Linked DNA regions of Pelodiscus sinensis. The protein of the gene in region 1 interacts with the protein of each later gene in a biochemical or structural test. Links are inferred from orthologs where the notes say so. Each region holds a gene or a part of one and is shown on either strand. Other genes may lie near its edges. The genes, in order: PLCG1, FGFR1, PDGFRB and ITK.

The links.
Region 2: the proteins of PLCG1 (region 1) and FGFR1 form a complex in vitro, tested with the Homo sapiens proteins (4 studies listed by BioGRID and IntAct, with this or other methods). The link is inferred for Pelodiscus sinensis from reciprocal best matches to the Homo sapiens genes PLCG1 and FGFR1.
Region 3: the proteins of PLCG1 (region 1) and PDGFRB form a complex in vitro, tested with the Homo sapiens proteins (3 studies listed by BioGRID and IntAct, with this or other methods). The link is inferred for Pelodiscus sinensis from reciprocal best matches to the Homo sapiens genes PLCG1 and PDGFRB.
Region 4: the proteins of PLCG1 (region 1) and ITK form a complex in vitro, tested with the Homo sapiens proteins (2 studies listed by BioGRID, with this or other methods). The link is inferred for Pelodiscus sinensis from reciprocal best matches to the Homo sapiens genes PLCG1 and ITK.

Annotation. Positions count from the first base shown.
Region 1 is NC_134728.1:25,001,153-25,008,943, reverse strand, and holds the start of PLCG1 (1-phosphatidylinositol 4,5-bisphosphate phosphodiesterase gamma-1), read left to right. Parts: upstream 1-4,775; 5' UTR 4,776-4,793; intron 4,794-5,027; exon of another isoform or gene 5,028-5,302; intron 5,303-5,308; exon of another isoform or gene 5,309-5,699; 5' UTR 5,700-5,852; coding exon 5,853-6,054; intron 6,055-7,791. UniProt on the Homo sapiens protein: Mediates the production of the second messenger molecules diacylglycerol (DAG) and inositol 1,4,5-trisphosphate (IP3). Plays an important role in the regulation of intracellular signaling cascades.
Region 2 is NC_134738.1:15,608,397-15,615,254, reverse strand, and holds the start of FGFR1 (fibroblast growth factor receptor 1), read left to right. Parts: upstream 1-3,846; 5' UTR 3,847-3,979; intron 3,980-6,858. UniProt on the Homo sapiens protein: Tyrosine-protein kinase that acts as a cell-surface receptor for fibroblast growth factors and plays an essential role in the regulation of embryonic development, cell proliferation, differentiation and migration.
Region 3 is NC_134727.1:35,019,622-35,026,778, reverse strand, and holds the start of PDGFRB (platelet-derived growth factor receptor beta), read left to right. Parts: upstream 1-4,157; 5' UTR 4,158-4,614; intron 4,615-7,157. UniProt on the Homo sapiens protein: Tyrosine-protein kinase that acts as a cell-surface receptor for homodimeric PDGFB and PDGFD and for heterodimers formed by PDGFA and PDGFB, and plays an essential role in the regulation of embryonic development, cell proliferation, survival, differentiation, chemotaxis and migration.
Region 4 is NC_134727.1:39,217,941-39,225,818, forward strand, and holds the start of ITK (tyrosine-protein kinase ITK/TSK), read left to right. Parts: upstream 1-4,874; 5' UTR 4,875-5,038; coding exon 5,039-5,176; intron 5,177-7,878. UniProt on the Homo sapiens protein: Tyrosine kinase that plays an essential role in regulation of the adaptive immune response. Regulates the development, function and differentiation of conventional T-cells and nonconventional NKT-cells.

The DNA.
Region 1 (7,791 bases):
TCACCAAGTCCCCAACATTTGTACGAGGTAGAAGTGTTGCCTAGAAGTTAGAGCCAGCTGCCTCAGAAGAGCTGTTGTTGTTGCCTGGTATCCCAGCTGGGGTAGCACAGCTTTGTCATTTGTGCTGGGACCCCCACATGTGCAATGCCAGTGAGCGATCGCCTACTCCAAACCCACTCAGTTTCGGAGAACAGACTAGACAGGTGTCCTGGAGCAAATACAAAGGGGCTAATCAGCACTAGGAGACTGGATGGCTGGTCCAGATGGTGAACTGAAAACTGTGTTGACAACTACAAGCTATCATTTCAAGGAAGGGGTTTCCTGGTCCTACTTACAGGGCAGGGGGCTCTGTCAGGAAGTAAGCAGCCTGGGTTTTAGTGTGCACGCACTGTGCAGCCAGGCTGCAGAGAGCCAGCCAGAAGTAAAGTGGGGTGACCAGTGCCTCTCTGCCTGCTTTGCTTCGTGTGCGTTACGGTTCTGGAATGTAGGAACTAACGGCTGTTACGTTGCAGCCTTCCAGAAAGCAAGTTTGAGGTTTTTAATCTGCTGTCTCTGGTTTGATGTTGGGAAGGCAACTGTCCACAGAAGAGGGTAATGGCTCTGTTACTGCTGCCAACTGAGGGGATTTTGCTCTTTAACTCAAGAACTAGCAGTTCATGCTTTGGGTGAAGAAAATCCTGGGGCCGAGCCCTCCTGGGGCCAGTTCATCAAGTAGTTCACATTTACACCATTGCCTCCCCCAGGTCTGAATCCCAAATGGAACATTTTGAGACCATTGTACATTGAAGATTTGTACAAAGCACCTCTGTTTTATCCGGCTGCTTACTCCTTTTCCTCACACACCAGTGCAGGTAATTTCATGTCACATTTGACTTTGTGACTGTAAATAGAAACTCTCTCTTTTGCCAATGAACAGCATGTTTTAAAAAACAACAACCCATGCAGAATTCCTGATAGCTGCATGTGCAAAATGCATGCCTAACTGCACATGCAAATATCATGATTGCACATGGCAACTGGATAATGTTTCACATGGAGATACTCTGGAGAATGCTCCTGCCACAGTCAGGCTGACTTTTGTGCACCTGCTCTCAGTACCCCATCTGGAAGAAGGAATTCCCTGTGTGGGCTGATAGGGAAAAGATCTGCCCATAGGCCAGGGAGTAGCAGCATTGCTGCTCTGCAGCCTCAGTACTGTGGTAGCTCAAGCATGTGCTGGCGTATCTCAGCAGTTGTGGTTCATAGTCGGTTTCCGTGGAGTTGTGCTTCAGAACCACACGCAGTTAGGACTTTCTGCACCTTTGTGCCCCAGCAGAACCGCGCCAGTTGTGTTTACCCAAGGCTGTCCCTCCCTATCAAAATGGGAAGGGCAGGATTTGTATTTTTGTTATGCTAGTAAAGGTTTGGGAGAGACATTAATGACAAGCTGCGGCGTGCTGAAACAGGGCCGTACTGCATAAAGCCTGGGTTAGTGATCTGAGCACAGATCTGGGTGCCAGGAATCCTAGGAATTTCAAACCTGGCATTGGGAACCAATTCCTCTCCCATATTTGGCACATCATACTAAGCTTTGATTGTACTTGCAGTGCAATGAAGGGCAACATTTCCTAGTTATTTTAGTAGGGGCAGGCCCTTAACCTCATTGGCTTTTCCTTCCCTGTCTCTGTACAGCCGTGGGCTACATCTAGACTGGCACGATTTTCCACAAATGCTTTTAACGGAAAAGTTTTTCCATTAAAAGCGTTTGCAGAAAAGAGCGTCTAGATTGGCACGGACGCTTTTCCGCAAAAGCAGTTTTTTAGACGCGGTTTTGCGCAAGAAAGCCCGGCTTGCCATTTTCGCCATTGGGGCTTTTTTGCGCAAAACAGTTTTTAGCTGTCTACACTGGCCCTCTTGCGCAAAAACATTTCCGGAAAAGGTCTTTTGCCCAAACGGGAATGTCAAAGCATTTGCGCAAGAAGCACTGATTTCAGACAGTAGAACATCAGTGCTTTTGTGCAAAATCAAGTGGCCAGTGTAGACAGCTGGCAAATTTTTGCGCAAAAACTTGCCAGTCTAGACGCAGCCATGGTGTCCAACCAGTTCTGAAGCAGTTGTCACTACAGTGGCTACTGCTATAGCAAACTAGCCACACTCAGCTGGCCAAATAGCCACATGTGGCTAGCATGGTGGACACCACCGCTGTGAAGTATAGTAACTGGGGAATATCCTTTTAAATAGTAGAATAGTGATAGAAATGTAGCTGTGTTAGTCTGGTGTAGCTGAAACAAAATACAGGACTATGTAGCACTTTAAAGACTAACAAGATGGTTTATTAGATGATGAGCTTTCGTGGGCCAGACCCACTTCCTCAGATCAAATAGAAGAGGAAGAAAATAGTCACAGCCATATATACCAAAGGATACAATTAAAAAAATGAACACATATGAAAAGGACAAATCACATTTGGAGAGTTGTCTGGTTGCTCACCTGCATCCTACTTCAGAAGACATTCAAATCTGTACTTGAAAGAGAATCCTCTGAACTGGCATTCATGCTAAAATTCTACACTCTCCGCGGGGGGCTGAACAAAGACTCCAGCTATCTTACCCATTACAAAGATAGCTTCCCCAATTATATAATAGCTAATACTATTAACTCACAGACATCTACCCTTCCCCACCTCTATCATTAACTCACAGGCATTCACCTTCCTTTCCCCCTCCCCCGCATCCTCCTTCTGTTCTGAAATGTGATTTGTCCTTTTCATATGTGTTCATTTTTTAAATTGTATCCTTTGGTATATATGGCTGTGATTATTTTCTTCCACTATTTGATCTGAGGAAGTGGGTCTGGCCCACGAAAGCTCATCATCTAATAAACCATCTTGTTAGTCTTTAAAGTGCTACATAGTCCTGTATTTTGTTTCTTTTAAATAGTAGTGAGCCCTCTTGTGTTCTATGTTGTAGGACTCAGTCGGAGCAGCAGTATGTATATAGCTAGGCCTGGCCTCAAGTAGACAGGGTGATGTGGACTCCCACGGTGCCAATGCTGTTTATTTTCTTGTGTAAGGAGCAAAAGATAGACCAGCCTTTAAAACTGGACCACAGTAATTCTTACCAATTACTGCTTAAAAAGTGTGTGCATTATTAGCATTCCCTGTGCTGGTTATGCAAATGCTGTTAGGAATCAGCTGTTAACCAATTTAATGAGAGCAAAAAGCTGATATATCCTTAAAACCCCACCAGGACTGATGAAAACTTGCCCTGCCCTGCCCCAGTGTCACCGTGTTGTGTCTGGCTGATTTGGGGTTGAGGAGGACAAGGGAAGTCAGGGGGCTTCCAAAGAATGAAAGTGGCAAACAGCCCTTAAATACTTTCTAAAGCAACTGTTTATCCCCACACTAAGCCTCGCTTTGTTTAATTTCCTGCCACTGGCCTGAATGAGGATGTAGCACTGCACAATTGGCCTGGCACGAGCGGATGCTAACACAAACCTGGCATGAAGAGGACAGCTGCTCTCTCCTCTGCACGAAACATTATGGCATGGAGCAGACCGGCAAAGGAAGCTGTGTCCGGTTTGGGGTTAGTGGACACAGGTGGAGGGGAAAAGACAGACAGACAGGATGGGCTCTTGATTAAGGGACTTGTCTGTGCTTCAGAAGAGCTGCATTCAGTCCCTCCTCTGCCCCAGACTCTCTCTATGCTGGGGGCCAAGCCACTGAGGCTCATTGGTGTTTAGGGTCCTAACTCCCATTGATATCAATGGTGGGCTAGCCACCAATGGGAGTCAGGCACCTAAATACCTTTGAGCATCTGAGGCTTAATTTCTTTGTCTTGCTGTTCCCTGTTAGTCAAATGGAGCTGGTGTCACTTTCCTCTCACACTTTGTCTTGTTTTGGGAGCTCCTCAGGGCAGGGACTGCCCCTTACCGTGCATTTGTGCAGCCCCTGGCACAATGGGGCCCTAGCGTGAATTAGGGCCTCTACGTGCTACTATAATACCAATGATGATAACACAGACCTCCTGCCTCCCAGACCAGTGCCACTTTCAGTGCAGTTACTGGTAAGGGCACTAGATGGGAGATCAGGAATTCTTGATCTTTTCCTGGCTTGGCCACTGACCTGGTGGGTGAGTTCAGGCCTTTCCCTTCTCAGTTTGCCCATTTGCCCCTTGTCCATCGAACTCCAGGGCCCCCTGCCCTGAATCTCCTCAGAGCTGCTGTCCTGCTAGCCTAACACAAAGGTAGTCTCATGCTCATGTTCAGCCCAGAGGGATTCTTTGTTATGACCTCATCATCCTCCTAGAGCGTGGAAGAACACACCAGTGGGGAGCCGTGTGAATGTCACAATATGTGGGAGAAGCCCTGACAGGGAAGGTCTTCATGCACCAGCCCTAGAAGCTGCTGCATGTGCATGTGGCTTGCAGGGGGGGCTCTGCTGTGCTCGTCCCCAGATAGCTGGCATTAGGTATCCCTGTTTGGGGACCCAGTAATAGGTCCTGATCCAATTGTCCACTTTCTCAACTCCCTGGTCTTCCTTCAGCCCTGGCGGGTGAGGTGTGTGTGCCAGCACGATGACGTAGGAGGACACAGCCTTGTTCTGCAGCTGGAGGAGCAGAGCCAGCCTGGGAGCCAAGCCATGGGGCTGGCGTGAGCAGAGAAGGAGGCATCCCCCCTGCCAGACTGCCACTAGCCCTGAGCAGCACCTCGTTGACTGGCTGTCTATGTGACTGTGCAGAGGGAAAGGGGGCGCTTTCCCAGAGCCCATTTGGACTGGGGACCGCTTTCCTTCTCCCTTTCTCCCAGCCCTACAGGTGGGTTCCCCTCCAGCCTCTCACTTGCATGCCCCTCCCGGATGTGTGTGAGATAGCGGATCCCCAGCCAGGCCTCTCCCGCTAGAAGCGCCCCTCTGTGGAGGCGGCAGGAAGCGGAGACCCCCACCCAAGACGAGGTAACCGGCGGGGGGCGGAGGGAAAGGGCCTGGTCCCTTTAAGAAGCTGCTCGCTGGCTCCTCCGCTCTGCTTTGTTTTACACGAAGGCTGGGAGGGGGCGGGCTAAGGGAGAGAGGAGCGACCGTCGCCTCTGCGCGCTCGCCATATGGCACTGCCCTAGGGGGCACGTGAGCCCGCAGGGGCGGAAAACCCGCGGCCTGACAGCGCGCACCATTGATCCGCGCTCTGCCCCGCGGAAGCTCCATTCCCGGCTCTGCTGGCAAAGGGAGGGAGGAGGGGGCCTCCTTTTCCTAATGCACGTGCCGGGAGCAGGAGGGGCCGGAGTAATCCCCGCTGCGGCTGGCGCGGAAGAGCCCCGGAGGGTGAAAGAGGCAGGCTGCTGGCTGCTTCAGTCCTTTCTTCCCGAGCTCTCGGGAGAGCTGATCCGGCTCCGGCCGCGGCAGGGGGCGAGCCGCCAGCTGCGGGGGAAAGCGAGCTCGTGCGGGGGGGACGGACTGTAAGCGAGGGCCCCACAGCGCAAGGCAGCCCGAGGGTCCTTCCCCCGGGCGCGCTCTGCAAGCCGCGGGGCCGGGGAATGCTTCGTGCCCGCCCGCTTTCGCTTTGGAGCCCGCTCGGGAAGGAGAACAAATATGGTGCATGATTCGGAGCGGGAGAGGGGCGAGTTTCTGCGGCTCGGCGGAGTGCGAAGAGCCGGGAGCGGGGGACGGGAGCGGGTTGTGCGTTTGCCCTTCTAGCCTCCCCCCCAGTAAAACACCCTTCCCCCCGTAGGAAGGGAGAGCCCTGCCCCGCGGCGCCATGCACTGAAGCAGCGGCGGGGATTGTTTGCGCGCTGAGTCCCACCAGCGGGGAGCGTGGAGGGCGGCAGTTCCCTTTTGTTTGGAGATTTCGCCGCATTCGGGGAAGGAGGCGGCGGAGGGCGTCATGGCGTCTGCCTTTTCCAATGGTCCCGGCGTCCCGAGCGAAGCGGAGGTGGTGCACCTCTGCCGGAGCCTGGAAGTGGGCACCGTCATGACTTTGTTTTACTCCAAAAAATCCCAGCGGCCGGAGAGGAAAACTTTCCAGGTGAAGCTCGAAACGCGGCAGATCACTTGGAGCCGGGGCTCGGAGAAGGTCGAAGGGGCGAGTAAGTTGCCTGGATCCTTCTTCTCTTTAAACGGCTAACCCTGGCTGCGTCTCGTTCCTCTTTCGGAGCAGGGCTTAGGAGCCTGCGGGTGCCTGGCGCTTGGCATGGGCCGGAGGCGGGCTGCGTTCGGTGTAAGTGAGGCGCCCTGGGAACTAGATACAGCAGTGGAAGTTGTCCTAAAGAAATATCCATTTTAAAAAATGCCTGCTGTTCTCTCTCTCCTCCCCCCCCCCCCATTTACATTACTGATCTGAGAGTGGAATTGCAAGTGCATCTGTCTTGATTATCTGACAATCTGTTTTGGCCCTTCTTATTTTGCCTGTCTCCTGCCCCACCTCCTAAAATTGCAGCATAACGTAAGAGGAAAAATAGATTTCCTGTTTCCTCGGGATTTTAAAAAAAACTAAAAGTATTTTTATCCATTCTTGCTACTGTAATTTAATGTATCTAGGTTCTCATGGTCTTGAGTACCTGTGCATGCATGCGCGGGAGATGGGGGTGGGGGAGAGAAGAGAGAGAAATTACAGTGAAGTTTTTGTGTTTTACTTGCAAAAGCGAATGATCCAAAAACGGCTGAAGCCTTTGGAGAGTGATTGGATTTTTAACTCTTGCTCCACTTTTAGCAAGTTGTATTCCCTTGCCCATATATCCTACCATCTTTGATTTGTGTGTTGATTGAGTGGGAGCTGTGCTGCATGTAGATACAAACTCCTTTTATTATCCATGCCTGCTTAAGAGGACAGTAGTCTAGCCAGTTACATGGAAATTCTTGACTGTCTGCAGACCTAATTTTTATCTTAAAGCCATGAAGTAGTTGGTTGCTTTGTTTACTCTGGTATTTAAAGTTATGGACAGAGTTGGTAGGTCCAGCCCTGATTTTGATTACTGCAGTGAGGTCATACCTGAAGCAGTGGATGGCTGGAGAGATGGATTTCTGTGCCAGATACAGTTGAAAAATTAACATTGTGGGTAGTGACTCCTCTGCTGCTTTTCATTTTCCTGGAGCTTGATGATAATCTGCAAAACAAGAACGCTTATCTGCCAGATAAGCTATTAGTGCCTAATTTCTCTCACTTGCAGGTACATAAGCAGATGTTGACACAACTAACTGCGTGATGGATTGATATGTTGTAATCCTCTCATAAACTGTACTAGCTAAATTGTAAAATACTAATATGGCTAGTAGTCTGATATGCATTATTAGTAGGGACTGTCATTTGGTATCAAGTTGGTTCCCATAAAAATAGGATAGGCTGGGTCTAAAATCAGGGGTGCGTCCTTTTTGTATCTGTGTCCCTGCCATGTTTTTAGTACAAATTGAGCATCGACATTGATTTCTCAAGAAGAGCAGTTCTCTCCTGTCTCCTTCCTGAACCAGAGCTTGATCATTAATAGGATATCTGGTTTCTGCAGTCTGACACATTTCTGTCCATAAGCTAACCATCTGCTATTTGATCAGTTCGCATGGATCATAAGTAAATAGTGGTTTTAATAGTGTTTAGATACTATGGTGATGGGTGCTGTAGAAATTAGATAGCACTCTAGAAAGCTGGGTGATATTTAACTTTCATCTTGGTTAATGACTGCAGAGACTTAGGATAAGACTGAAGTCTGTGATTCTCTTGATATCTTTACTGACAGCACCTCTGTATCAGAGGGATAGCTAAGCTCTGTAAAAAATCTTTACAGAAGGCAATCCAATAAAATCTTCTGTTTTCACATGTAGCACCCGAGGCA
Region 2 (6,858 bases), on another chromosome or scaffold:
CAGGCAGGCAGAAACCCCTCTGGAGGAACAATAGCCGGGAGGTGCGAGCCCTCCCCCACTGCCTCCCCTGGCAGGGAGGGGACAAGGCTGAGAGCAAAGCAGGCAGAGCCATGTCCGGGCGTGAGGACGGGACAAAGGACCTGGGACTGGGCAGGCCACTGGGGCTGCTGCTGCAAGAAGAGTCAAATGCAAGTCAGAGCATCCGACCGGGGGAGGGGGCCTGCGCTCCTGCCTGCCTCTCTCCAGAGCAGGCCCCGGGGTGGGCAGGCCCCGGAGACCAAGAGGAGTTTTCCCGGCACTCCAGCTCCGCCATGGCCCTTGTCAGCAGCCCCGGGAGAGCTCTTGAACCTGGCTCCTGCCAGAAGGGACAGAGGCTGGGGGAGGGCTGGCAGGAAAACACCCAGGCATGGCCTGCGGCAGCTGACTCGGTGGGCTCAAATTGCAAGGGGGCTGTTTGGCTGTTCTGCAGTCCAGTGCGGGGGAGGGTCCCAGAACCTGAGATTCCATGCCTGGGCTTCCTTCCCGCAGTGTGGACGCACCGAACTGAGCTCTGGCGCTCTCGTCCCTTGGGATCCTGGTAGCAGAGCCAAGCTCCGGGCACTCTCCTCCCTTGGCTGTAAAGAGCCCGTCTGCCGCCAAACGGAAACAGACAAAATCAGGGTAGAAAAAATGCAGCTTTGAAAGCAAAACAAACAACAAACGGCTCCTGCCCACCGGTGTTTTGACCCAGCTCAGCGCCTGGGTGTGTGGCCCTGAGACCAGCGAGGAACCCTGAGCAGAGAGGTAGCGGGGTGCTCTGGGAAAGGCGGCAAGCCGGCGAGGCCGAACCACAGCTCCAGGGAGATCGGAGATCGGTATGTCACAGCTCCCCACCATAACCTAGTCATGGAGCCACCGAATGTAACGCCTGGAGATCACGGTGACCATCCAATCTGTTCTCCTGCAGAACATGGAGCAGAGAACTTTGCACCTTGATTCCTGCCTCCAGCCCATATCTGATGACTGAGCTAGCGAGAGCTGCACAACCCCATGCCCTGAACGGACGTGATCCGTAGCAACACCCCGCAGGGATAGGAGAGTCCTAGAGGAAAGGTCGCTTCCCTCGCATCCACCAATATCTATCGATCACCCTGGCAAAACCCACTGGCATCCCAACCGGAGCCACTGCCTGTGCTGGTAAGGGGCTGCTCTCGTTGTAAAGACGGATGCCTGGCATTTGGTTCAGATATCGCCGTGGTGACTGATGGATCTAATTCAGCCTGTCTTGTTTCACTTCATAACTTAATCATTTACACATTGTCTTCCACAGTGAGCCAGGAGATGTCTTCATTCCGGGCCGGACCTCTCTGGAGACTCACCCAGACTCCCTCCCTCGCTAGGCCCCTTAAATCAAACCTGCATTCGCCTGGGAGCACCCCGCCAGAAGCTGCTTGCTACTGGACCTAGGAATTTTGAAGCCAAGTAGGGTTTGGGGCAGATTAATTTGCATGACAATAGACGGAGCATTCCACTCCCCCTGCAGCTACCTCCTGGCCGAGCTGGTGTCAGAGGCCTCCAGAAATCCCCAAGTTGGATTGCTGCCTTTGCCTGCAGAGATGTTCCCAAAGGGTTCCCAGCTTAGAACTTGCACCCTGTTTCTCGGCTGGCCCTCGCAGCAGGGTTCACCTGAGACAGATGGGGGAAGTGAAGTCAGCTGTCTGCTGGTTTTGGATTGCTCTGTGGTTTGTGGTCCAGATGCTTTGGGTCTGACAAATCCTGTCAAAGCCCATCAGAGCGGGAAGATATGGGTTGGATTTTCAGAGGGCACTGTGGGTGCTCATCACGTCCACAAGCCAGGCCACGTATGCACTAGGGGACTACATTTGCCTATCTATGCAGTAACTAAGAAAAACATTTGCCTATAGCTTTTGATGGATACAAATATGCCAAGAGGACAAACCTCGAATAGATTGTTCAAGCCAACAGAACCCCCAGATAATAGCAGTGAGTTTGGCATGTTTTTGTCTATCAAGAGCAAAAGGCAAAAAAAATCTGACGGGAAGCCATCAGGCAGCTCTTGCACATGAAAGCAAACTCTGAAACTTGAGGATTTCGGGCCTGATCCTGTGGTCAGATCCATGCAGTGCCCTCACCGCATAAGGGTCTGATCACTCCTGGTCTTTCTTAGGCGGCACATAATCAAACCAAGATGTTTGTGAGCTGGAAGTATCAAACGTAGGAAAGAGGAACTCAGCTAGTCCATGACAGGGTCGGGATATTAATTCAGAGGGACTTTCTACTGGAAAACAAAGTAGCCACAATAAAATCCGATTTTCCCTGAGCCTGTGCCTCGGATTTCTCTCTCCTTTTGTTACTGTTTGTTATTTCACTCCGGAAAGCTTCAGGCAGTTTGCACGAATTAACAACCAGAGGGGTAGGGAGCGTGTGTGTTGGAGGGTATCCGTCAGTATCATCCGTCAGGGCTCAAAAATCATGCGTCAAGGCCTAAATAATCATGAACTGGCTTGGAAATCCAGAGACTGCAAAAGGAAAATCCGTTTGGCCTTCTCTGAGCCTTTTTCAAACTTTATCCTCCAACCACAAGGGCTAGAAAACTTACCTAAAATAGACAGAAAGAAAGAAATCTGAGATTGATCTCTTGAGCATAGCAGCTGGGCTTTAACAATCACACAAGTATCAGGAGATTATCATGCGGCAAGAGTTGGCAACACTGTGCTCTTCCGACACGCTGCATGGCTGTTGCTGGGTTCGTTTATTTGTTGCACGTCCGTGACTGTGTGTCTGGCAGCCCACGCTGGCCGAGCCCTGGCTGCCTCCCTCCAGTCCATTGCAAGATGGGGCCTTAGACTGTGAACTCGGCGGGGCAAACACTGGCCTTAATTCCTATCGGACTACAGGTTCCGTCTCTCAAGTCTGGGACTCTCCGGTTCAGCCACATCCGTAGTCCCGCAGGACTCAGATATTGCTGCACCAGAGAGCTCCAGCCCTCCCTGGGGGTCCCCAGCAGGGCCAGCAACTGGGGATTCCCAGCTCAGATCCCCACAGCAAGGGATTTCCACCAGTGGCATCTGGAGATCCCCCTGCCAGCAGCCGGGAGGGGCAGCAGGCTGGGAGGCCAGCAGCGGGAGGGAACCAACCCTGGTCCAAGGAAATCCCCGTCAGACCCGGGCCGGACCAGGGAGGTCCAACCTGTCTAACCTAATCAAACGGGCCCGGATCCTGGGGACTCTGAGAGCGGCCATAACCCTCACAAATCACCAGGGTCAGAACCCCCCCCCTCGGTGGTGGGTTTGTTTTGTGGGCAAATACATTGCAAACCGGGGGGGCCAAGGCAAAGCTCTGCGGGCGGGGGGGGGGAGACTTTCCCGCTTGGAGCCCCGCAGCCCCAAGCTCCATGCAGCTGCATTTCGGAGCGCGCCCATCCCGCCAGCGCTCGGAGCAGCCTCCCAGCTCCGCTCTGTGCCGAGAAGCCGGGGCCGGGCGCGGCGAGAGAGTCCTTCCCCCACGGGACGGGCAGGTCGCTGGCGGGCAGCGGAGGAGGAGGAGCCGGGGAGAAGGCAGGCGGCGGCGGGGGGCGGAGGAGGGGCTGGGCGGGCAGGAGGGAGGGACGCAGCCCTGCTCCGCAGCGCGCACTGGGGACCGGGCAGCAGCCAAGCGCACGGAGCCGACCCGCAGCGCGCCCCGCAGCCACCGCAGCGCGCCCGGGCCCCTGGGCTCCCAGCTCCCGGGGGGTCGGGGCCCCTCGTGTCTCCCCCGGGGCCCGAGCCCCTGCCCGGATCTCCCGCGCTCGGGGCCCCGCGGCGCGATGGAGCCGGGGCGGTGAGCCGGGGCAGCTCGGCAGGGCTGCGCGCCTGGGCCCCGGCTCGGCGCCTTTTGTTCCCAGCCGCCGGGGATCGCGGCTTCGCGGCAGCTCCGGGGGCCCCGAGCGGGACCGGCCCCGCCTGGGGCGGCGGCTCCGCCACTGGACCCCGCCGAAGCGGTGAGTACCCGGGGCGGGGGGCGCCCCACGAGGCCTCCCACCCGCCCCCTGGCCCGGGAGGCGCCATCGCGGCTGCGAGAAAACTTTCCCCAAACTTTGGGGGGGGGCGCCTCCGGGGGGCGGGGCAGCGGAGTGAGCCTGGAGGGGGGGCGTGAAATGCTGCGGGGAGCACCCTGGGCAGCCGGAGCCCGGCCCGCCCCCTCACCGCGGGAGGTTCAGTGTCCGGGGGGCGGGGGAGGCTGGAATGCGACCCCTGGCTCCCGCCCCCGCCTGCCTGGGCCCCGGGAAAGCAGCCGCAGCTTCCCCGGCCGAGGCTGGGGCCAGGTGCCCGGGGCGTCCGGCGCGGGGCTGGGCAGAGCTCGCAGCGCCCCTGGCGCGGGGCCCGATGCGGGGAACAGTCGCGTCCCACCGCCGCCTGCGGGATCGGGCCCCGCGCCGGTGTGTCCGGCCCCCTCCTCCAGCCCCGCCGTGCCGCGCAGGGCGCCCCAGCCCGGCCGAGGGCGGATGTGAGCTGGCAGGACCCCCCGTGCGATGCCTGGTCTGGCCCGGCCGCCAGCGCTTAGCCCTCCCCACGGGGAGCCGCCCGCTGCAGTCAGGCCTGGGGAGGGGGCCCTAAGGCCACGGGGGTCAGGCCAAAGGCCCGGGTCCTGGAGCCTGCCTGCCCTGCCCTGCCCGAGCCGGCTCCCCGGAGGGCGTGGGCAGGACTGGGCATTTCCCACCCTTTTCAGTTCTCCCTTGGCACTGGAGGCGCAGCAGGGGGGTTTCCGCCAGGCCCTGGGGGAAGGTGGCTTGGGAGTCCCGGCTGTGGGGCTGGGCAGGAGCCCTGAGGTGCAGGCGGCTGGCTGGTTTCGGGGGGGGGGGCTCCTTGACCTTGTGTGAACTTTCTGCCTAGTTGGCACCTGGTGACTGTTGATCGTATTGATTATTGCGCCGGGCTGGGCGGGCCTGGCTGATTCAGGGAGCCTAGGGCCAGGGGCTAGGACATTCCTGGCTGACTAGCACACTCCCGGGATAGCGTGGGCAGAGTCGGAGCCTTGCCACCAGTTCCCCTCGGCCTGGCTTGGATGGGCTGCTCCCCCGAGGACGCTGCCTCACCGTCGGGCGTTGCTTTTCCCCTTCTCCCATGGAAACGCTGGGATGTGAGCAGTGCGGAGGGGCCGTGTCAGGGTTCGTCTCGCTGCGATTTGCTGTTTCCTCTCGGAAGCCCAACACCGGAGACCCTACGAGCGCTGCCTTAACCCATAAAACGAGGCCTGCGCGTTCACAGCCGCGGGCTTCCTGAGCCAAAAACGCTTCTTAAGGTACAAAGTTTAGCGGGGGAGGGAAATCTCTTCTGCGCTGGAAACATTCCTCGGGTTTCCAGCCTGTTGATTTTGTCTCTGTAATGGAATAGCGCTTTCTCGAGACGCACTCGGCGTTTCCTTGCGCTCTCCCTCGGGAGATGCACTCTGCAGAGCTGAAGGTCCGAGGAATGGGGGGTTCCTAATACCTGGCTCATCTGAGACGAGCTAGCCGAAAGCTCCCCCTCCTCGCTTTCCTCTTCTAGATTTGGGGCTGATAGAAAAGCATCCCCATAACATGGCCGTGTGGTTTCCCGGCTGCAGGGGGTAGCAGAGTTAGTCTGTTACAGAAAAAAACAACAAATGGTCTGGTAGCGCTTTCTAGACTAACAAAACATGGAGCTGGGATCATGAGCTTTCGTGGGCACCGCCCACTTCTTCAGATGCCTGGAGTTACGGTTTCCCAGTTCCTGCTAATGGTTTGGAATCCCAGATGGGTCCTGATTTGTGCAGTCATGCAGTGTGCTGGGATGCAGGTGCCTGCCTGGGTTTCTCATGCCGACTAATATCTTATTTACATATTTCTCCCTGCTGCAGCGGAAGTTTTTTGGAGCCTGTATTGGTCGTATGGGGAGGCTCCAGCTGGAGGGTCTCGTTAAGGGGATCCTTCTGTAAATACTGTCCCATATGTTAGGGGGTTTGTTAGCAAGTCTAAAACATGTCAGTGGTGCTCTGTCCTCCCTCCTGCAACACCACTGAGCTCCAGGAAGCAAAATCTGGCCCTCTCTTTAGCCTTGGCCGAGAGTGAGAAACGGCTAGCAGTAAACTCCTCGTTCAGGCTGCCTGCAGCTGCACTTGGGGGCTGAGCTTGTGGGGACTTGCTTTCCTGAGGCCTGGCCTTATTTAATGGGCCGTAAGTGCCCAAGGGTGGACAACCAAGCACAGTGAGTCTCTTGAAAGAAAGCTGCAAGGAATTCCTGGAGGTTCCCTTGATAGTGCTGCTGCGAGGCTGTCTGCTCCAAATGGGCGGTGTTTCATTTTAAAATGTGCTGCTAAAAATGTACCAAATGAAGTCTACCTGCTGGAGCTAGCTGCGGCAGCCTGGCTTGCAACGGTTTCTGTACGCACAGGCGCTCTGCTCCGCTCAGCACCGCCACGCTACAAGGGATTCCAGCCCCTCCAGGAGTTTGTGTCCACAAGAGTGTGGGGTGTGTGTACAAAGAGCCCTGGTGGAGAGACGCAGGTGCAAATTGAGGGGTGAGCCCCATGCACCCGAGTGGCCGTGTGGGTGTAAAAGTGCCTGGTGGAGATGGGCCCTTCCTGCAGAGAACTGGCCCCAGGCGAAAGGGCTGTGCATGCCTTTGCTGTGACAAACGGCTTGGCATTTTTGAAATGCACCTTGTTAGACGCTGGAACGTTTCTGGAGCTGAGTGAATAATTGTGGAAAAAGCCAAGGAGCGAATGCTGCCAAGGAGCGCCGTTCCTGATAGGGGATGGTTTTCTGCCAGCCCGGCACACATGGGACTATCTGCTTTGGGGGGTTTCTAAGTAAGTTTCTAGCCTTAATGGTTACCTGGACTGTCTTGTAAACACAATCCC
Region 3 (7,157 bases), on another chromosome or scaffold:
TTATCCCTGTTCCTCACCTCCCTCTATCTCTTTCCAGATCTCAGCTGCTCTCCTATCTTTCCTCCCTAGCCTGTACCTCTGGCTGCTGTTGCAACTGCATTATCTGGGAGACACACTGGAGTAGCACTTGTGTGCAAGATACTGCACAATCAGCAGCCCCATTGTATGGTAACAGCCTGGGGGTTCCCACACCCCGATCTCCCCTCCCCTTGGCAGCCAGAGGAGATCTCTGAATAAATAGTCTGTACTTGGGTTTTCATCAATGGAAAGCTGAAGAAACTGCTGAGATAAAGGAGAGATAAATAGCCAGCCTCTAACTGTTAAGGCTCACAAATGATTAGCCAGCTCTATTATAAACACACACCCCTAACCAGCTATTAAGTGATGACTCTCTCTTGTACACACAGCAGCTCTTAGGTGGGGGCTGCGACAGGTTTTTAGGGGAGTGATTTTTCCCCCTTTCTGCTGAAGGAACGCACTAGCAGTGTGGATATGAGTATTGCTTTTCCAGAAAAACAGCCGTTTTTCCAGAAAAACTCTGCAGTGTAGACGTACCCCTAGGCTATGTTTACACTGGCGGGTTCTTGCACAAGAACATCATGCACAAGGGTTCTTGTGCAAGAACTCTTGCACAAGAACACGTCCACACTGCCAGGTGCTTTTGCACAACAGCGCCCATGGCAGTGTGGACGCTCTTTTTCTCAAGAAAGCACTGATGACCATTTTAGCTATAGGGCTTTCTTGCACAAGAAACCCCTGCCACGCATCCACACTGCCCTCTTGAGCAAGAACTCTTGCACAACAGAGCTTACACTTGTTAGAAAAGAGCGTAGCTCTTGCACAAGAAGCCCTCTCTTCCCACGCTTTACTATAAATCTTCTTGCGCAAGAGCTAGGGGGCCCACGTGGACGCTTTGCGGAAGAATGGCCGTTCTTGCACAAGAACCCGCCAGTGTAGATATAGACCTAGTGTGGATGAAATTATACCAGCATAAAGGAACCTGAGGTCTCTTTTACTCTAACAAATTTTTCTAGCAGGCAGGCTTGGGGCTGATGGGCCTGTAATATACTCACGCTCCTGGCCAGCTTACCTGTGGCAGCAGAAGCTCTCGCATAAATTAAGTTACACCAGTAAAAAATGTCCATTTGCCAGTGTAGCCTATTCCGCTGGAGGAATTGGTATAAACTAGAGCTCTTCTGGCTCTATTAGCTGCATCTGCACTATACCAGGCTCGCTATCGCAAGCAAACTCTTTGTGTGTAGACAAGGCATGACTCAGCCTTGCACCTTTCATAGAGCTATAACTGCATCCACATTAGCGCGGTGGTTCTCAAAGTGTCCGTCTTGCAGGTAGGTCGTGGGCTTGGGGCTCCAGCCTTGTGCCAACTTTCCGCTGTGGGGGGAAAGGGGCAAGCCTCATGGACTGGATCCAACTTGTGGGTTAGGAAGCAGCTGTGTGTGTTGCTGCTCTCCCTCCCCTCCCCCTACGTTGGGGGAATGGCAATGCAGGAAACCACCCACCTGGAGGCTTTCCCCACTGCTCCCATTGGCCGGAATCATAGTCAATGGGAGCAGTAGGGGGTGGTGCTTGGGAGCAGTGGGAGGCACAGAGCCAGGTAAGGGCCCCCTATCCGTCGTATGTCAAGACCCCACACTCTCGGCCCACTCCTGCACCCAACCCCCTGCCAAGACCCCTCCATCCTCAGCCCACTCCTGCACCCAACTGCCCACCCAAATTCCTCCCTGCAACCTCAGCCTGCTCCTGCATCCTACTTCCTGGCCAGACCCTGCACTCCTACCCCTTCCTGCACCCATTTTGTCATGATGGGTGGTTGGCTGGTGGTCTCTGCTGAGCAGGGTAGGCCATGGGCCAAAAAGCTTGAGAACCACTGCACAAGAGGGTTGTAGCCAGTGCAGATTCTAGGGCTGATGTAGCAAACCTAGGGGGGCTGGGGCTAGATAGGCATGGGAAATAGGAGTGCAGGGGGTGCTGCAGCACCCCCAGGTTTTGCACCAAGCTTCCCTGCACCCGGAGGGCTGGCCCTGCTGCCCATCCATCGCTTGCTTTGCCAGTCCCTGTTCCTGGCCTCATAGGGTACGTCTAAACTACATGCCTCCGTCGACGGAGGCATGTAGTCTAGACACACCCATGGAGTCCCACCAGGCCTCCAGGATCAAGCCAGCCCCACTGACTTCGTCACAACCTACTGGCCTCATGGGTTCCACCAGCCCTCAGATCCCATTGCCAACCAGTCTTGCACCCATGGGCTCCTCAGCTGACTGGCCCTGCTAGCCCTAGAGTCCAGGTCACCAGCCCTGGATGCCCCATACCCACCCTGGGTCCTGCCACTGGTGGGGGGCTCTGCCTGGGGGCAGCCTAAGGCTAGGATTGCCAATTCTCCCAGCCACCTGCCCCATTGATGTGAATGGTGTCCGGTCAGTCTGGTCTGGGAGAGTTTGCAACTATCAGAGAGACGCAAACAGGTCCAAGGGGAGGGGGTTCACTCATCACCCCTCACCCTAAAAATTGCTCCGGTGCCACTGTGGGGCTATGAACTGCCAAGCCAGGAGATGCCAGGGCTCAACTCTGCTGAGCATGGGCACAAATTAAGCTCTGGGTGGAGGGGTCTGTTTGCACCAGCCGGGTCAAAGCTGTGAAAGCAATGTCCATAGGCAGTCATTAAAGCAGTGGTTCTCCATTTTGCGGGGGGGTGGGGGCACAGGCTTGGAGCTCCCCTCCTTCCCGCAGCGGTGAGCCTGTGCTGGCGCTCCAGCCCCACGCCGGCTTCCCACTGCAAGGGGGTCGGGGTGAGCCTTGTGGGCTGGATCCAGCTTGCGGGGTAAGTAAATGGCTCTGTGTGCTGCTGCTCCTCCTCCCGGCTGGGGGAACAGCAGCACAGGAAATGGCTCCGCTGGAGGCTTTCCCCGCTGCTCCCATTGGCCAGAATTACAGCCAATAGGGGCAGTGAAGGACGGTGCCTAGGAGCAGTGGGAGACACAGAGCCAGGTTAGCATCCCCCATCCTTCTCATGCCCAGATCCTGCACCTCCATCCCCCTCATTCCCACCCCTCCCACCCAGACCCATTCACTCTCAGCCCTCTTCTGCATCCTACTTTCTAGCCAGACTCCGCACTCCCACCCTTTCATGCACACGTTTCATCATCATGGGGGGTTGGCTGGTGGTCCATGGAAAGGTTTATGTTGAGAAGTTTGAGAACCATTGCACTAGAGAAAGGAATACTCCGTACAGATGTAGTCGCCTTATCTCACCAAAGATATCCTAGCACTGGAAAAGGTTCAGAAAAGGGCAACAAAAATGTTGAGGGGTTTGGAGCAGGTGCCATATGAAGAGAAATTAAAAAGGCTGTGACTTTTCAGCTTAAAAAAGAGGAGACTAAGGGAGCATATGATAGAGGGGTCTATACAAAAGGGAAAGTTATTTACATGTCCCCGTAACATAAGAACTAGGGGTCGCCACATGAAATGAATAGGTAGCAGGTTTTAAAACAAACAAAAGGAAGTTTTTCTTCACGCAGCTCACAGCCAGCCTGTGGAACTCGTTGGCAGAGGATGTTGTGAAGACTAGGACTTCAACAGTTCAAAAAGAGAACTAGATAGATTCATGGAGGTTAGGTCCATTAATACTTATTAGCCAGAGTGTGTAGGGAAGGTGTCCCTGCCTCTGTCAGAGGCTGGAAATGGGTGACAGGATGGATCACTTGATTCCCTGTTCTGTTCACTCCCTCTGGGGCACCTGGTGTTGGCCACAGTCTGAAGACAGGATGCTGGGCTAGATGGATTTCGGTCTGATCCAGTATGGCCGCTCTTATGAGTCCATGCCAGCATCTGTGCCCAGGCGATCAGGACAGGGGCTGGAGATGCTGTATCAGGCCTGGGAGGGCATATGTGCAGTCCCTTTAACACAGGCCTTCTTTAATGAAAACATGAGTCAGCTGCTGGCGTGGGCAGTGGATTTTCTAAACATCCCCTCATATCCTGAGAAAGGGGAAAAAATGGGAGGGGGGGGGGGTTTGAAATCAGGGCAGGGCGAAAGGCCAGAACTGAAAGCAGGGAGAGCCAGCAAGAAGCAGCCCCCCAAGGCGGCTCCTCCAGCCCAAGGAGGAAAGGCAGGGGGCTGCGCTCAGCTTTGCTGAGGCTTTGAGCCGGGAGCTGGGCTCCGAGCCCCTCTCCCGCCCCCGGTTCTCACCGAAACTCCCCCTCAGAGCCTGCTTCGGTTTGTTTGGAATCGAAAGTTTTGGAGAAAGCTCCAGCTGGAAGGAGGCGGGGAGAAGGGAAAGGCGGCTCCAGCCTTGTGCCGATTGGACACGGGCTCCCCCCTCAAGTTCCCCCCCCCCCCAATTGTATCCCCCCCGCTGCCGCGCTGGGGCTGTCTCCGCAGCGCACTTCAGGGCGCCCGCCGAGGCTCCAGGCTCCTCTGCGATGCTCGTCTAGAGGCAAAGCCAGGGCACCTCGGGACTCCGCGGCGGCTCCTGGCTGCGCGGCGCTGGGAGGAGCCGGGCCGGGCCGAGCCGGGCCGGGAACGCTGCCCAGACGGCGATAAGGAGGCGGGAGAGGCGCCGCTGGGGACTGGCGAGCGAGCGAGCCCAGCGCACGGTAAGTGGCGCGCCCCGCGAGCTCCGCTGCGCGCTGGGGGCTGGAAATCCCGGGGGGCTGGAGAGAGGGGTGGGGGAGTCACGGCCGCTCTGCTGGGGGCCGAGCTCGGGAGCCGCCGGCGTCGAGGCGGGCGGGGGAGGGCGAAGGGACCTGGCAGCGAGCGAGCGAGCGAACCCCGCCAGCAGCTGGATGCGCGCACGGGCCCCGCTGCGCTCCTAAGATGCGCGGCCAAGCGCCCGGCTGCGGGGCGCGCCCGGACGGCAGGACCGCAGCCCTGGGAGCTAAGCGAGGGGCAGGGAGCAGGGGCCCTGGCGTGCTGCTGGGCCGGCCTGGGAGAGGGGCAGAGCTGTGGGGGCTTCCCGCTGACAGGCTTGGCCTGGGGGGAGACTTAGCTCTGAGGGAGCTGGGGAAGGGGATGGGGATCCTGGGACAATCATGAGAGGCTTAGGCTATTCCCGAGCAGGGCAGGGGCTGGGCCCTGGATACCAAGGCGCTGGATGGTGCAGAAAGGTCTGGGGAGACAGTGAGCTACCAAGCCAGACAGCTGGTTCTCTCCGACAGGGCTGGTGACGCAGCAGGGGCGGCTTTTCCCCGGGCAGGTCCGTCCCCTGCCTCCGTATCCAGCCAGGTGGCTGGTCCCAGGGCGAGCCAGGGGCTCATGGTTTGTGCGAGTCAGGCCCCCCCCACCGGAGCAAAAGCTGCAGGATCGGGCCCGAAGGAAATTCTCCCCGTTCCTGCTTCTGGGCTGGTAACCACACGCCCTCCTCTGAGCTTGGTCACAGCCCTGGCTGTCCTGCCCAGGGACAGCTCACCCTGCTGGGCTCCGGGATGAGCCCTGGGCACAGGCCGCCCACACTGATCTGGGTAAAAGCAGAGGGAGCAATCCCAAGGGTTGGCGGGGATGGAGGCTGCAGGGCATCTCTCCAGGACCTGGCCATCAGAGGAGAACACAATGCTGAGAAATGCCTCTGCCGCAGGCCAAGGGGGGAGAGGGGACGCAGGAGAGGGACAGTGACCTAGGAAACCTTTCACCTCCTGGGTTTCTCTTTCGCATCTGTCCCAGCAGGATGGCTGGTTAGTGCTCTCTGGGATGTGAGCAGGGGGCTTTGCTCAGTCCTGCCTGGAGATCAGGGCTCAGGTCACACCACCCCAGGGGCCTGCTTTGCTGGATGGAGATGCTGGGGTCTGAATGGGTCCCAGACTGAAATACCGTCAATCAAAGTCACATGGGTGGGGCACGGCAGGAGAGGCAGCACCCCCAGAAGCAGTAGCCTGGGACTCCCCCACACTGGGGCAGGGATGACACCTGGACGGAGAGGGCTGCATTAGGCTTTGAAGTGTGGTCTTAGATCTTCTTCTTAAACCCTTGTCACTCCGAGGGAGCATAGGTCGTCTACAGGTCTCCTCCACTTCACTCTATCTTGAGACAACACTTCTAGCTGACTCCAGGAGTACCCCAGTTGTTGTCCTTCAATCTCAATCGATCTTCTCCATGTTGTCCGAGGTCTTCCTCTTTCGCGTTTTACTTGCAGGTTCTATGTGAGAGCTTGCCGGACTGTGCTGGATGATGGTTTTCTGAGTGTGGCCTCGCCAGCCCCACTTTCTTCTCTTGATTTGAATGTCCAGTGGTCCTTGTCTTGCTCTTTTCCAAAGCTCTTCTTTGGGACACAGTCTTGCCATCTGATGTGAAGGATGGACCGCAGGCGTCTGTCTAGGAATGTCTGTAGCTTGTGAGGTGAAGACTTTGTAGTATGCCAGGTCTTGTACCCATACAACAGCACGTTCTTCACATTTGTGTGGGCGATTCGCAGTTTCGTCTTCGCAGATATTATTTATCAACGTCCACCAAGTTCAGTCTATTCTAGCCTGGCTCCCCAGCCAAGTGCCACTCATCTCCGTAGGATCAAGGCTCGGATGGGGCCCTGCCAGAGCAAGGACATATTTTAGGCTCTGATTCAAGCTGAGCCCCACCTCAGTGGAGTCAGGCTATTGGGTGTGCCAGGGAGGGCCAGAAGGGGGCTGGGATGGTCTGAAAGTGAGATTGTGAAGGAGACAGGGCGTCCTGAAGGAGCCAGGAGTCCGTGGGCAGCATGGATGGGAAGGAAGCTGCGTTTACTGTCCAGCGTCACATCAGAGGGCTATTAATCTGGGACTTTCCAAGGGGCGTGGGGAGCAGGGCCATGTGGAATGGGCCATGGCCTAAGATGCAGCTTTTTCTCTCCTCTTCTCTCCCCCACCCCCCGCTATTTATCTGTACCCTTGACCCCTTACTCCAGCCATCTGAAGAAGTGGGTTATGCCCACGGAAGCTCATGACACCATCTACATGTTTTGTTAGTCTCTAAGGTTCTGCAGGATTTTTTGTTGGTTTTTAGATTTTTTTCAGTTACAGACTAACACAGCTCCGCCCTCTGAGGGTACGTCTACACTTGCTCCCTCGTTGGCGCTAGGGATGCAAATGTAGGCGACCAAAATTGCTAATGAAGCGGGGATTTAAATATCCCGCGCTTCATTAGCATGATCTCGCCGGCGCGTTACTCCCCT
Region 4 (7,878 bases), on another chromosome or scaffold:
GCTGGTAGGGGGTTGGGGTGCAGGCTCTGGTCACGGGCCCAGGGCAGGGCCGGATTAAGGGGGGGCTAGCCGGGCAGCTGCCCGGGCGCCAACCTATGGGGGCGCCTGATTGAAGTGGTAAGAGATGCCGCATCAGGTGCCCCCCATAAGTTGCCGCCCAGGGCGGGGCCATGCATGCCTGGGGGCGCGGCGCCCTGTACACACCAATGAGGTGCCGCACGCCCGGGGCGCAAGAATGGCTCGGGCCCACCCTGGCCAAGGGGTTTGGAGTATGGGGGGGGGCTCCCGGCTTAGCCCAGGGTGGGGGATTGGGGCCCAGGAGGGGATCCAGGGGGCAAGCTCTGGGAAGCAGTTTGGGTGCAGGGGGACTCACGTCTGGGGCAGGAGGTTGGGGGCAGGAGGGGGTTCAGGGGCAGGGGCTGGGGGCAGGGGTTCAGGAAGCAGGCTCTGGCTGGGCACCGTTTCACTGAGACGGCTTCCACGTGGTGGAGCAGCAGGGCTAAGGCGGCTCACTCCCGCCCCGGCCCTGCACTGCTCCCCAAAGCAGCTGGCACGTGCAGCAGTGACTCCATGGAGCCATGCGCTGCCCCCATCTACAGGCACGGAGCCCACAGCTTCTACTGGCCCCGGTTCCCCATTACGGACCAACGGGAGCTGCAAGGGCGGTGTCCGCAGGCCAGGCCACCATGCGGAGACCCCCTGCTCCACATGCCAGCCCCGTCCAGGAGCAGCTGTTCCCACGGGGATAGGGACTCCAGCCAGGGCAGGTTCGGCATTTGAGAACTCGCTGCTCCAAGAATTACACCGGCGTGTGAGAGAGAAATGAAAATGATGAAATGCACCGACCAGTCAAACACCGAAACTATCCCCCTTTGCGAGCAGTAACAACCCCCCGCCTGTGTGTTGGGCCGGGAGAGGAGAGGGAAGGATGGTGTGCGTGTGTGAGAACGACAGACGCACACAGGGTGTGAGAGTGACAGATTTGCATCGTCAAGCTCCCTCCATCCCCGTCTGACTGTGTGGAGATAGGGTACAGGAGTGGAGGGAGGAGGGACATCCTGACACCAGCGCCCCCCCCTTCTCTCTCCACACCAAGCGGGAGGCTGCCGGGGGGGCAGCTCCAAGACAGAGGGCACCGTGACCGCGTGGGGAGGCGTAAGTGACGTGACAACGCTTGAAAGCCAAACCAGTCAGGATCCCCTGTCTGAGCTCCAAGATCTACCAGTAGATCCCGATCGACTGGTTGGTGACCACTGATCTAGACAGTGCTTGGTCCTGCCGGGAGAGCAGGGGACTGGACGCGAGATCCCTACCACGTCCAGGGTTCTATGACTCTTGGGGTTCATTTTGCCTCCCTTTCCTCCAGATCCAGGCCGTATCCAAATCTGGCATCTCCTCCTCCTCAGCGTCTCCATTATTTTCCCTCCCATACCCTTAGCCAAGCCCCCACTTCGGACCTTCCCTCAACCCCCTTGGGTCTGGCACTATCTCCCTCTTTGGGCCATCCAAAGCCGGCCTATTTACACCATGCAAGCTGCGGCTGCCAGCCTGCCTGCAGACATGATCTCATCGCCCCTCTCTTCCAATCGCTCACTGACGCCCCAGCTCTTATCGCACCAGAATCAAGCTTTGAAAACACGTCTGCCCTCCCCATCTACCACCCTCGTCACTTCGCCCCCCACATCCTCCCCGCTCCTCCGGTGTTATTCCCCTCAGCTGCCTGTTTATCAGCTTCTCGCCTCTTCTTCTGCCGGCCGAGGTGGGCCTTCTCTTCCAGGCCCCTGCCCCGCCCACATGGGAGTCCTTCTTGAAGATCCACTTTGGCCACTGACAACCGTGCCTCTAGCTGTCCCTCACAGTCATTTTTCAAAGGAAGCCAGATTTCTACTTCTCGCTCTTCTCTCTCTGCAGTCAGAGCATGATGCGCCTCATGGATGTTCCTCCCGGCCTGTCAGGACCGCATCTCGTATGTGGTGGGGCCTGGCCGGAAACAAATTCGAAACGAGGCCAATAAGTAATCAGAGCTAGCCGCGTTATGGCACCTCCGGGCATGGGAGGCCTGGTTCTGATCTTAGGCTGCCTGTGGAAATCAGGAGACGGTCCAGTGAGGTTACTGGAGCTAAAACACCCATGAGAACAGAACCCGGCCCAAAGCCAGTAACAGTTCCCAAGCGGTCATGTCCGCCAGTCCTAGTTCTCTACAGCCTTAGCTGAGAGTCAGCCGGTTTTTAGCTCAGGCTGTAGAACAGGGCTGGACAAGATGCGGCCTGGAGGCCAAATCCAGCCCACCTCACACTTCAATCCGGCCGTGGGCTGCATCTGGCTGCTTTCTATTTATCTCCTGCTGCCTGGGCCACCAAACGTCCAGGAGGCAGCTCAGGCAGCAGGATCCTATTTAAATGGCTCCCGGCTCCCACTTGGGGTGCTACCTCGGCAGAGGATAGAGCCACAAGCCCTTTGCTGTGTTTTTAATTCAATGCCCCCAGCCCAGATAACTCTGGGGGCTAGTCCCCAGCCCCGCCCCCTCCACCTCAGGCCCCGCCCCATCTGGGGGTGGAGCCAGCCCATGACCATGCATTAAGTGGCCCCCTTACGAACATTATTGCCACGCCTGCTGTAGAGGGTCATACTCTAAGCTCCAGAGGTCCCAGTTTCGGTTCCAGCTGTCGGCGTTACACCTAAATGACAGAAAACCTTGGGGGTACATTTCAGACTCTGCTACATATGGGTGTATGATACATTATGGGCATATACTCTGCAGGCACAAACACCAAAATAAGCAGTTTGAACCCTTGCCTTTGCATAAGCATTACAACTCTGTAACACGCAGGCAGGTATTTACACCTATAAAGCAGGGGTGCAGTTGTGTGAGATGCACCACGTTGCAAATCAAACTGAACATTTGGCCCTTGATTTCTGTCTCGGCGCCTGACATGAAATTCACCCTTTATATCAGTGCTGATTCTGCACATACATTAAATAACATTGCCTCTGGAGTTTGCAGACAGCCTAAGGGTATGTCTACACTACCGCCCCAGTTCGAACTAGGGAGGCTAATGTAGGCATTCGAAGTTGCAAATGAAGCCCTGGATTTAAATATCCTGGGCTTTATTTGCATCTTCCCATCTGGGTGCCATTTTTAAATCCCCTTAGTCCGAACTAACTGCCCGCGGCTACACACGGCAGTCAAACATTAATTCGAACTAAGGACTTAACGTTAACTCGAACTAAGGAGTTAGTTCGAGTTAACGTTTGACTGCTGCGTGTAGCCGCAGGCAGTTAGTTTGGACTAATGAGATTTAAAAATGGCGCCCAGACGGGAAGATGCAAATAAAGCCCGGGACATTTAAATCCTGGGCTTCATTTGCAACTTCGAATGCCTCCATTAGCCTCCCTAGTTCGAACTAGGAGGATAGTGTAGACATACCCTAAAAGAATAGCTCAAAGAGAGGTATGAACTTTCCCCATTCATCACAATTTGGTATTAACTCTGGAACCTAATGGTGCCATTTTAAAAGTGAGCATTGCTCAAATGATCTACAGGCAAATAATGGCCAAGAGCAACCAGCACAGTGCTTATCCCACAGCCCTAATTCAGAGTTAAATTCAGAGGCAGAGTAAAATTAATTGCAATTAATGTCAAATAAAACAGTGGATGTTGTACTGATTGTATTAGTCACTTCCACATTAATGTAACAAAACCTTTCACTTTTTCTTTAAATTCACCTCAAACTGCCACCGATTTTCCAGTCCAGCCACAGTGCAGTGCTACAGAAATGAACAGCTCTTGATATAGCATTTAGGTGTACCTTTGCCACAGATTACATGGACTTTGATACACCTAGAGCATGTATATTCTGCCTACACTTTCTTGGAACATTCACCCACAGACTGCCTTCCACCCGGCCACATCTGGAACATTCAGCAATTAGTAAGCAGTTATGTCATTGCGACGCCCCCTGCCTCAGTTTCCCCAAAGCGCTTTGCCATCTACTGACAAAACGCACTACAAAAGAGCTCCGTGTTATTAGTATGAATAATCATTAATGACAATATTGAAAAGATATAAATAAACTTCATTGGTATGGCATCTCATAACACATATAATGAATGTAACTTCATTTATACACCAGCTTTTAATTGCTCGGATCTGCAATTTGTCAATGCCTACACGTCAGAGTCTTTGTAGTTACATGCTACGTGTCTTTGAAATATAGGTTGGACTTCCTTGGTCCGGCACCCTCAGGTTCCGAACCAGGGAGTTTTCCGGACTAGGGAGGTCAAGGCTCCCTTCCCAGCCATCAGACCCTCTGGAATGCTAGCCCCGATCACTGGGCTCTGCTCCCAGCCTCGGATGGGGCTGCGTTCCCTGCCGGGCTGGCCTGGGTTGTACTCCTGGCTCATGGCCTAGTGAAGGCTCTCGGGCACTGGACCAGAGAGTGCCGGATTTCAGAGGTTCAACCTGTACGTCAAACAAATGACACTAAGTACAGTGCATGAGGTGAGAGATAGGCTGGAGGTAACACAGACCATACCACCCGTCTGTACAAGGAACGTGGATGTATGAAATCCTCCCCAAAGCACGAAAAAGATGCTGTTTCGTTATATCCGAGTCCACCCTGAGCAGACATCCCTATATTTGCTAAGAGCGGGTTGAGTGGGCCATTATGTAATCATGCCACAACTTTTAATTAATCCCCGAGCCTTTACAGAAAAATCACATTTGTCAAGAGCGCCCATCACATTTTCATTTTTTCCACAACATTCGCCGTAGAGTATTTTTCAGCATGTGCTGTTCACTTGATGACTTGGGAGAGGATGTGGTTACGGTTTTGACAGAAAGGAAGCGCTACAGTGCTGCCTAGATGACAGACGGAAAGATAAGGCTTTGTGCACCTACGCTGCCTTTCAAACACCTTTTTTTTGTTGAAAAAATCAACTGCCCTCTTTCTTGTTTCTCTTTTCTGGACTTGTGCTTGGAGTGCGGGTCTGGGACCGGCGTGCGGGGTCCGGGAGGAGCGCCGTGCCCTGCCGAACCATGAATAATTGTGTTCTCCTGGAAGAGCAGCTGATCAAAAAATCCCAGCAGAAGAGACGGACCTCTCCCTCCAACTTCAAAGTGCGCTTCTTCGTTTTAACCAAATCCAAGCTGGCTTATTTTGAGCATCGCCATGGGGTACGTGAGCCATTTTCTCTCTCGTTTTTTTGCAGGCTCGTGAGTCGAGAGTATTGAACGGGAGGGGGGAACAGTGTATGCTGTGAAATCCCATGCGCCCAACATCTACTTAAACTAGCTACTGGTGGAGGGCCCTCCATGGCATTCTGTGCCCACCCAAAACTTCCCCATAGGTCAGTGGCGGTTTGGCGTGTCGAAGGAATGGAGGATCAAACCTGGTTTGAGCAAAGAAACGTAGCGCGGTCTGAATACCTGCCTCCCTCCAAGATGCCTAACTGACTGTGTACTAGGCAATTCAAATGGATAGTGCTGTAGCTCGGGGCATGTTTTGATCAAAGTTATAAAGTTGGGTAACAGGGATTCTCGCCATACGTTTTAATTGCATATAGAAAATCAGACCAAACAAATTGGAACTGGGCAGACACTCAGCTCCAGTAGAAGGATGGTTCTCTGCATGACGGACTCCATGTTTGTTAATCAAAACTCTCGAGGTCAGGTTCTAACGGGGTCAGTTGTTTCGGGGAGTAGGCTGTAGGAGGGGGTCTGATATTCAGATGCACTCAGACTAAGCACATCTCAGATGCCTAGCCCTGAAACTATGAAAAGAATTAGAAGCTAATGTGTGTTAGCAACCTTTTATGGGTGCTTTTATCAAAGCAAAACTCCCATCGTGTCTCCTTTTGTGCATATGGAAGCACACAACTGGCTGGAGCCACCCGTTGTAACCTTACTCAGTTTGTTTGCCAGGGTCTACAAACAGGGACATCAATACACGACTTTAAGGGTGTATTGCTGCTTGTAAGTGTTGTTTCTCTCCAGTTGCACTGCCATGTTTCTTTTGAATTTGTAAGAATCCATTCAGGCACCATAAAATGCATGTGGTTTATTTTAAATACTATATTTAAATTTTTTAAAATATATTATTGCAATCCAAGATGTATATTTTCAGTTTGACTGAGAGTGTCTATTCTGTGGTCCAAATGTCGTCATTTGAAGAGTTAAGATGTTAATACAACTACGTAGCCTAGTAAGAATGGGAACAATTTTCACAAGTGCCTAATTGATTTAGGAACCTAAGTCTCTCTGGGTCTGATTTTCAAAGACATTTAGTTGCCAAAAGTTGCAGATAGGTGTTCTTCAAAATCCCTCTATGTGCTTTACTTTGGTGCCTAGCTCCCTTTAACAGGCACATAACCTGGCTTGGCACTTTTGAAAACCCCATTCGGCATTTATCTGCATTTGGAGACACCTAAATACCTTTGAACATCAAACCCACGGACTTTGAACAGGACAGCAGCGTGAAAGTCACTTCAGTGCTCTAGAAAATTATACCCCCTTGTGCCCTAAATCCTAATGAGGCAAAAATGGGACGACGTATAGGGCCGTAACAAGCTACATATCTAAGCAAACTTGTCAAAATATGTCCTTGTACCATTTACAAACATCGGAGTGTGCCAAGATAATTGCAGCGTATTTGGCATGCACAGCGGACGTGCTTCTTTTACCTCAAATGTAAATGTGCCGAACCAGAGCAACGGCGGAGTAACTTGTCATAGCTTCATTTAAGTCAATAACACTGTCCCCTGAAGTAAGTGAGTTAGACTAGCTGAGGAGTTAGAACCCTAGAACTGGAAGGGACCTTGAGAGGTCATCAAGTCCAGTCCCCTGCCCTCACAACAGGACCAAGCACCATCTAGCTCATCCCTGGCAGGTGTCTGTCTAACCTGCTCTTAACTATCTCCAGCGATGGAGATTCCACAACCTCCCTAGGCAATTTATTCCAGTGTTTAACCACCCCGACAGTTAGGAACTTTTTCGCTATGTCCAACCTCAACCTCCCTTGTTGCAGTTTAAGCCCATTGCTTCTTGTCCTATCAGCAGAGGCCAAGGGAAACAATTTTTCTCTCTCCTCCTTGTAACACCATTTTAGGTACTTGAAAATTGCTATCATGTCCCCTCTCGGTCTTCTCTTTTCTCTAAACAAACCCAATTCTTTCAGTCCTCCCTCATAGCTCATAGATCTTTCATAATTTTTGTTGCTCTTCTCTGGATCCTCTCAAATTTCTCCATCTTTCCTGAAATGTGGTGTAAAGAACTGGACACAGTTGGCCATTGTCTATCACTAGGTTTGTCTCCTGGAGGCAGGTATATACAACATGCACACAGCTATACCAGTAACTGTAGGACCTGATACTCCACTGTGTAGCATTGGGTTTGTGCCAGTGTAAATCGTCTTAGCAGGTCCATTATATTAATAAACCTCCCTGGTGCAAAATGAAGATAGGAGTGCAGATAAGGACCAGTTAGCCCTGAAGTATGAACTCTTTTGCTTATCTATGACAGTCAGAGCAGGTAATTCTGTGCAGGCTTCGGCATTGCCTCATTGGTCTCCAATCTGGTGGGACAAGCTCTAGGGCTGAGAAGGTGGCTCATGCTACCCACCCTTTTGGTCTTCGCTTGTCTCCTGAGTCTTCCAAGGGCCGGGCCGACACCACCACTACTTTTCACCGGCGGTAGGAAAATGTGGCTTTAGCACCCTGGCTTGACATGATGGTTTCCCAGTCTTCTGAACTCAATGTGAGGGTCTCTTTGGATGTCCATTGTAACCCTCTGGTGGTGCATATGAGCAGAGATTTAACATCTCTACAAACCTGGCCCAAAGATCGACTGTGTTAGTTCATTCCTTTCTCTGGCCTTACCAT